2 linked regions of the Macaca fascicularis genome follow. The protein of the gene in region 1 purifies or fractionates together with the protein of each later gene. This does not show direct contact. Links are inferred from orthologs where the notes say so. Each region holds a gene or a part of one and is shown on either strand. Other genes may lie near its edges.

The links.
Region 2: the proteins of EPB41L3 (region 1) and CLNS1A purify together in Homo sapiens (affinity purification with mass spectrometry; 3 studies listed by BioGRID and IntAct, with this or other methods). This does not show direct contact. The link is inferred for Macaca fascicularis from reciprocal best matches to the Homo sapiens genes EPB41L3 and CLNS1A.

The regions. Positions count from the first base shown.
Region 1 is NC_088392.1:73,900,575-73,904,388, reverse strand, and holds part of EPB41L3 (band 4.1-like protein 3), read left to right. Parts: intron 1-446; coding exon 447-1,007; intron 1,008-3,814. UniProt on the Homo sapiens protein: Tumor suppressor that inhibits cell proliferation and promotes apoptosis. Modulates the activity of protein arginine N-methyltransferases, including PRMT3 and PRMT5.
Region 2 is NC_088388.1:76,533,285-76,537,538, reverse strand, and holds the start of CLNS1A (methylosome subunit pICln), read left to right. Parts: upstream 1-1,403; 5' UTR 1,404-1,496; coding exon 1,497-1,621; intron 1,622-4,254. UniProt on the Homo sapiens protein: Involved in both the assembly of spliceosomal snRNPs and the methylation of Sm proteins.

The sequences.
Region 1 (3,814 bases):
TTATTTTTAATCTAGCTGAACTATAGTAACAGCTCTGCTACCTGAAAATCAGAAGAAGGTTATTGAAAGTCTTGATTTTAAGTTATCAGATTTACTTATGTTTGTTCCCCAAAACCTGAAACTTTCTAGAGTGTTGGTCTAAAATGAAATTTTTTGATCATGTGAAATGTGTAGACTTTGGGATTACCCACGAATACCTTCTGTTCTGAGTTTTTAAAGAATTCCACCTGTATATGATGGTCTAATGGGAGAAATGTAGCCATTTGTGGCAACATTGGCATGCAGCTTGAATACTTTTAACATTCATGAGCAACCCTAGTGCTAAAATTTTTGTTTTACAATTTTATATTGATACCCATAAGAAAATTAACTAATTGCAGTTTTCTTTTTGTCCTTTTGCACCTCTGTTTGCTGCTTTCTGTCTCTCTCTGTCTCTTTCACATCAGTCACCTGGGCTTGGCACTGACTCATGTCCCTTGTCACCCCCATCCGCCCATTGTGCCCCCACATCTCCCACAGAGCTCCGTAGGAGGTGTAAGGAGAATGACTGCAAACTGCCAGGTTACGAGCCATCCAGAGCTGAGCACACGCCCGGAGAGCCCGCCTTGGACTCTGATGGCCCAGGGAGGCCTTACCTAGGGGATCAAGATGTGGCTTTTAGCTACAGACAGCAAACTGGCAAGGGGACCACCCTGTTCTCCTTCTCCTTGCAGCTCCCCGAGTCATTCCCCTCCCTCCTAGATGACGATGGGTACCTCTCTTTCCCCAACCTTTCTGAAACCAACCTCCTGCCCCAGAGCTTGCAGCATTACCTCCCGATCCGCTCACCGTCCCTCGTGCCCTGTTTCCTCTTCATCTTTTTCTTTCTGCTGTCTGCCTCCTTCTCAGTGCCATACGCTCTCACTCTCTCCTTCCCTCTGGCTCTGTGCCTCTGCTACCTGGAGCCCAAGGCGGCCTCCTTGAGCGCCTCCCTAGACAATGACCCGAGTGACAGTTCAGAGGAAGAGGTGTGTACCTCGGCATAGAACACGCTTCCCCTTCGTGTTCCGTGCTTGAGTCCGAAACAGTGTTAGCCGGCTGCTGCCATAGTGGTCCTACTTTCAGAGCCTCATTTATTGTCTGTGCCAATATGTTGAGGTTTCTGTGTGTTGGGGAGTCCAACCTGGGCCCCAGGGTTAGGCACAACACCATGTGGATGTAGCAGTCTGAGCCCAACCCGGAATCGTTCTGCTACCCACTGAGTTCTACGTGGGATGAAAGACTCAGCCAGAAGTCAATTTTATGTAACCCATTAGCCATGTAAAAGATCAGGGCTAAGCTGAAAGTTCTGATCAGTTATTGTTTAGTAAGGTAAATCACATATAAGACCGATGATGAGTTGTTTCAACTCAAATGATAGTCAAGGAGAGGTGGAAGAACGCATCCCCAAAGGGGATGTATCATTGTCACCTGGGTAGCTTTCTAAAATTGCAAAGGTATCTCCTCCCTGAAGATCCTGAAATGTCCCCACCGCCCTCTGCTCATCATCGACGGACAGTCACTGTTACTCACAGAGAGGTCTGTCAGTCAGATCCCGCATTGTGTTGTGTCAGAGCAGTTGAAAGCACCCACATGACATCAGCCATTGGTAAGGGCAGAAACAGGCCCAGAAGCAACGGCATGCAGTGCAGCAGTGTTCAAACACAATCAGAAAAGGACTGAATTGACGTTTTCAAACAATGCAAAGACAGGCTGAAATTTCACCAGTGCTAGCCATGCCAATGCAGATAATACGGCAGCAATTCTTTCAACTGCAGTATGAGCCTCAAAATCCCCCCGTTTTCACAGTGTGGTAAGGCTGGGCCTCTGTGGCTGCCAGCCGGACATGGACATAGTGGGGGAAAGACCCTGAACTATCAGCCTCCGTCCTTGAAGGCATGCTGCTGCAGGGCAGGCTACTGTCCCCCACTGGAGCAATTGGGCAAGCTGACATGGTAGCCGGTAGTTTTTCCTGTTAATTGCTCTCCTTTCCCACCACCCCACAGCCCTTTGAACAGCCCAGCAGTTTCTCTTTCTCCAGGCTTCAAACAGAGTGCGGGGAAGAATAATAGAAGCTGCCACCAGAAGCCCCGGTTGCTCTCATGCACGCCCCTGCCCACACCTCTCCGCAGGCTCCCTGCAGCCCTCCTGTTCCCACAGAACAAGAGCTGTTGTGACAGGAGAAAAGGAAAATACCTTACCATTTTTTTCAAAAGTCACAAAGTCAAGGCAATGCTAAAAAAGGAAAGAAAGTCTGATTCTGTGCTCAGCTAGAAAGTCATAATTTGAGCCGCAGCACCTGTGAGTATGTAGTATTATATGTTGAGGGTGTGCGAGTATCTCTAGTTAGTGGAATTATGACCATTTCTTTGCAGCGGAAGGAAAAAAAATGTGAATGGTCTCACAGGTGTTTTAAGTAAAAGTCTACACTGAATAGATTTTGCATAAGAGACATTTTCAAGGTTCTTGAGTTATATATAACGATTTGCTCCAACTGATATATAAATAACTTTTTACACATGGAAAATATTTTGAGAACTACTTGAAATCCTAGGCTTTAATATCACTATTTCTCATATTGGTAATATTATCAAATAGTGTTGGACTAGAACATATTACAGTTAAGAACACAATATTGTCTACAAAGACAATTTTATTATTTATTAGCTGATTTCTAACATGGAGATATATTTTTCCTTTAACAGTGGAGTTAGTCATCAAGCTAACATAAGGCAAAAAGATTGCTGTTTTATGCTTTTCTAAATTCAAAATAAATGTTTGAACTTTTGTATAGCAAACCACACAGATCTTGTGCCTAATCCAGGGTATACATCTTGTTGTAATCAGTGCATGAGAATTAATGTTAAACTTGGGCATGTCTGCATTACATTGGCAAAACAAATCACAGCAGTTACTTGTTACAAGCTAGCGAACATGTGATTGGAGCTTCCCGGTCATAACTGTCCTTGTTACTGCAAACCTCCGAAACCATGAATTAGCACTGACCACTGGAGTCTTCATCACCCTTCTCCGCAGCCCTAGTCAGCCCATATGATAGCTCTCCTGCCATCAGACTCTGTAACTAGCCATCTGTTCAGTGTTGTCTCTTGAAGTGTTAAGAGCTGTGCATTCTAGTTCAGGCTGAGCTAGAGAACTCATATTGAGGTCATCCTGGATTGTTTTATTTAAATTGCCATTTGCTTACATGGCCTGATTTCATCTCTAGGCCTCAAGCACTGTGGCAGCTACACTGGGTGACTTCTTAACATACAATTCAGCCTTGTCACTTTCGTTTTGCCAAGTCACTAGCAATTAATTCTTTTTAAATATTGTATCATCATTGCTTACATTTTTAACATGTTATAGTGGCTTATTTCCAGCCTTTCTCAAGAGTGAAATCCAGTATAAAAAGGCTTCATCATTTCACATTATAAAGCTATTGACCAGTCATGAGTTTTCTTTTGTACTTTCAGAATGGTAAAATAAGAAGGGGCAGGATATCAAAATATCCTATCAAGAAACATGAGATGAACTTACCTCCCCAAACCATAAAATGCTATTACATGTGTATTTCTGAGTAATTTTTTGATAATACAAAGAAAAATAGAGATGAGTTCAAATCAAGAGGAAGAAAAATTGATTAACTGATTTATAACATTTTAAATTACATAAACATAGTATTATATAATAGTTTACGATATGCTATACATTTGCAGTTTTATGTAGGCATCATACATTATAGAAATACCAGTTGATATAAAAACTGCTTTGTTCAGCCTTATTCATTTATTTACTA
Region 2 (4,254 bases), on another chromosome or scaffold:
TTTGAGACGGAGTCTCGCTATGTCGCCCAGGCTGGAGTGCAGTGGCACGATCTTGGCTCACTGCAAGCTCCGCCTCTCGGGTTCACCCCATTCTCCCGCTTCAACCTTCCGCGTAGCTGGGACTACAGGCGCCTGCCACCACGCCCGGCTAATTTTGTTTTTGTATTTTTAGTAGAGACGGGGTTTCACTGTATTAGCCAGGCTGGTCTCGATCTCCTGACCTGGTGATCTGCCAGCCTCGGCCTCCCACAGTGCTGGGATTACAAGCATGAGCCACTGCTCCCAGCCTAGAGTTTTATTTTTACTCAAATCAGTTTTCCAGAGCATTCAGGGATCAAAGTTTTCTTTTTTTCTTTTCTTTTCTTTCTTTTTTTTTTTTTTTGAGACAGTCTCGCTCTGTTGCCCAGGCTGGAGTGCAGTAGCGCGATCTCGGCTCACTGCAAGCTCCGCCTCCCGGGTTCACACCATTCTCCTGCCTCAGCCTCCCGAGAGTAGCTGGAACTACAGGCGCCTGCCACCACACCCGGCTAATTTTTTGTATTTTTAGTAGAGACGGGGTTTCACCTTGTTAGCCAGAATGGTCTGGATCTCCTGACCTCGTGATCCGCCCGTCTCAGCCTCCCAAAGTGTTGGGATTACAGGCGTGAGCCACCGTGCCCGGCCAGGGATCAAAGTTTTTAAGGATAATTTGGAAGGTTGGGGAAGGCCAGTGACTGAAGAGTGTTGATTGGTTGGGTGGGGGATGAAATCACAGGGAGTTGAAGCTATCCTCTTGCCCTGAGTCAGTTCCTGGGTTGCGGGGGAGGGGGCACAAGATCACATAGCCAGTTTATGCATCTGGTGGTGCCAGCTGATCCATCAAGTGTAGGGTCTGCAACATATCTTAAGCACCTATCTTAAGTGCAGTTTAGGGAGGGTCAGAATCTTGTGGCCTCCAGCTGTAATTTCTAAATTACAAAATTTCTAATCTTTGGCTGATTTGTTAGTCCTACAAAGGCAGTCCAGCCCCCAGGCAAGAAGGAAGTTTGTTTTGGAAAAAGGCTGTCATCATCTTTGTTTTAAAACTTCAAACTGTAAACTAAGTTCCTCCCAAAGGTAGTTCAGCCTATACGAGGAATGAACAAGGACAGCTTGGAGGTTAGAAACAACATGGATTTGGGTAGGTCAGATTGCTTTCAGTGTCTCAGTTACAATTTTGCAATGGTGATTTCACTGTGACAATCTTGAGGGACTTCCCACAGAACCCTCAGTTCTTGAAGCCCAAAGCCTCAGAAATGGCGAGGAAGAACGAGAGGGGTGTTAAACTCCACACGGTCTTAGCCGACCTCCGACGCTTTTCCTAGAATGTCTCATCTCTATGGTCGACGGCGTTCAGATTCCGGGGCAGACTAAGTTGTTCTTCCGGGGTGAGTGCCTCTTCCAGGGCGAGCGGTGTGGTGCACGCATTGCTGTGTTCTAACTCCCTCAGGGGCTGTGTTGTCGCACTTTCTGCTGCTATGAGCTTCCTCAAAAGTTTCCCGCCGCCTGGGCCGGCGGAGGGGCTCCTGCGGCAACAACCAGACACCGAGGCTGTGCTGAACGGGAAGGGCCTCGGCACTGGTACCCTTTACATCGCTGAGAGGTAGGGTTCCCGGTCCCCAGCGCCGGCCTCCTGCGTGCCACCCTCCTCCTTGCTGGAGCAGGCGGTGCGAAGGAGCCGGGCAAGGGGCGGCCTGGAGGGCTGCTGGGAGCGGGGGCGCGTGTCCGGGACGCCTCAGGGATACCTGTACCGGCTGGAAGGCTCGATTTTTCTAGCACTCTTCCCGAGTCTTCCATTCTCTATTTTCTCGGGCCGGAATTTCCCCTCATGGATTGTGCTTTTGTTTTTTTGTTTTGTTTTTTTAAACTCGCCTTTTACTGGAGGTCTGGCGCGTGCGTTGCCCTTAACGCACGGTCTCGTTTTAAGAGTCTGAAGTGTGCCTGTCTTTCCGGATGAACAGATGCAGGAGATGTTCCCCTCTGCAGGATACGTAGTTTCAGAGCCGAGTGTGGAGGACTTTGAAAGTTTGGTTACACAATATAGATTTTTTCTGTAGGAATAGTAAGGAGAGGAATATCCTTAACTCGACACAGACAGGGGTCATATGCAGAGGTACCAGACTCCCGTTTTGGGGTCCTGGAAGGAGTTGCCCTTTTATTTGGCCACCTGGAGCACTTTGGTATTTTCACAGTCAGATAGATCTACCTTAAATATTGTGGTTGTAGAACCGAGGTCCCTGTTTCCTTGACATTTAGTTCTCTTTATTTTGAAGCCTGTAATGACACATTTAATCTTTCCTGCCCTTCAGATATGTGTTGCTTCCCCTTTTGCTCCATCACTTGTCGACAGCCAGAGAAAATTCTCTAAGAACTCATGTGATTACTTTGGAACCACCTGTAAAATCCGGGATAATCTCCCTATGTTGCTGTCCACTGGTAACCTTAATTAGGTTTGCGAAGTCCCTTTTGCTGTGTAATATAACATATTCACACGCATGACACCAGAAACTGAAGGTCGTGGGGGCCAAAATTTTGCCTACCACAGAATCCAGAGCACAAAAACTGTAAAGAACTGTTGCTTTAAAGGGAAATTTAGACATTGAACAAGGCTTAGGCTTCAGGCCAGTCACTGAGATAGGACATATGGGTGGTAGGAAAAGCAAGATTGAGGTGAGAGGCAGATAATGAGTTTGGTCAGGACATGTGTGGAGTAGTTGTACATACGAGTGTGTGTTGGGCCGGGCGTGGTGGCTCACACCTGTAATCCCAGCACTTTGGGAAGCTGAGGCAGGCGGATCGCCCCAGAAGTTCGAGATTAGCCTGGGTAACATGGCGAAACCCAGTCTCTACAAAAAATACAAAAGTTAGCCAGGCATGGTGGCGGCCTGTAGTCCTAGCTACTCAGGAAACTGAGATGGGAGGATCACCTGAGTCCAGAAGGTCGAGGCACGGTGAGCCGTGATTGTGCCCCTGCACTCCAGCCTAAGTGACAGAGTGAGACCTTGTCTCAAAAAAAAAAAAAAAAAAAAAGAGTGTGTGTCTTGGGAAAGTGGTATTAAAGATAGATGTTTGGAAGTCGTTGAAGTATTAGTGTATACTCATGGAAATGGATTAACTATCTCAGAAGAGAAGAGGACCAAGTGTAGAACCCTAGGGACACACCTTTGTGTGGGTCATAGAAGAAGAGACTCGAGAAAGGAGGAAGGAGCAGTCAAAACAAAATATGAAGAGCGTATATTGAGTATTGACAAGGAAATCTTTGATATTTGGGGAAAGCAGTTTCTTTGAAGTGATGGAAGATGGAGCACAGATACATTCCTAGTTCCCAGGCATTCCTTTTTTATTCATGACATTTCTGTATGTTGACACTTCGTTCAATATTATAACTCCTTTTGAGGGACAGTCCTGTATTGGTTTTTGCATTTTGAAAAATTTCAAACCTACGGTCCGGTGCGGTGGCTCACGCCTGTAATTCCAGCACTTTGGGAGGCGGAGGCGGGCAGATCACCTGAGGACAGGAGTTCAAGACCAGCCTGGCCAACATGGTGAAACCTCATCTCTACTAAAATACAAAAATTAGCTGGGTGTGGTGGCAGGCATCTGTAATCTCAGCTACTTGGGAGGCTGAGACGGAAGAATTGCTTGAACCCGAGAGGCGGAGGTTGTAGTGAGCCGAGATCATGCCATTGCACTCCAGCCTGGGTGACAGAGACTGCCTCAAAAAAAAAAAAGAAAAATTTCAAACCTAAAGAAAAGTTGTAAGTGTTATTACTACCCATACACCCTTCACAAAGATTTATTAGTTAACATTTTGCCATGTTTGTCTGTTTTTCTTTTTTTTCTGAGCCATTTGAGAATTGCAGACATGTTTTCTACTTCCTGTTCAGAAGAACAGGGACATTATCTTGTATAACCACAATACAATTGTCACACCAAGGAAGTATAACTCTTTTTAAGTTCTTACCAGTTTTTTAAAAATTCTTAGCCTGGACAAGGTGGCTCACACCTGTAAATCCCTGCTCTTTGGAAGGCCAAGGTGAGCAGATCGCTTGAGCCCAGGAGTTGTTGACCAGCCTGGGCAACATGACAAAACCCTGTCTCTACAAAGAATACAAAATTGCAAAAATTAGCCGGTCATGGTTGCATGTACCTGTAGTCGCAGCTACTATGGGGGGCTGAGGTGGGAGGATTACTTAAGCCTGGGAAGTTGAGGCTACAGTGAGCTGTGATCATGCC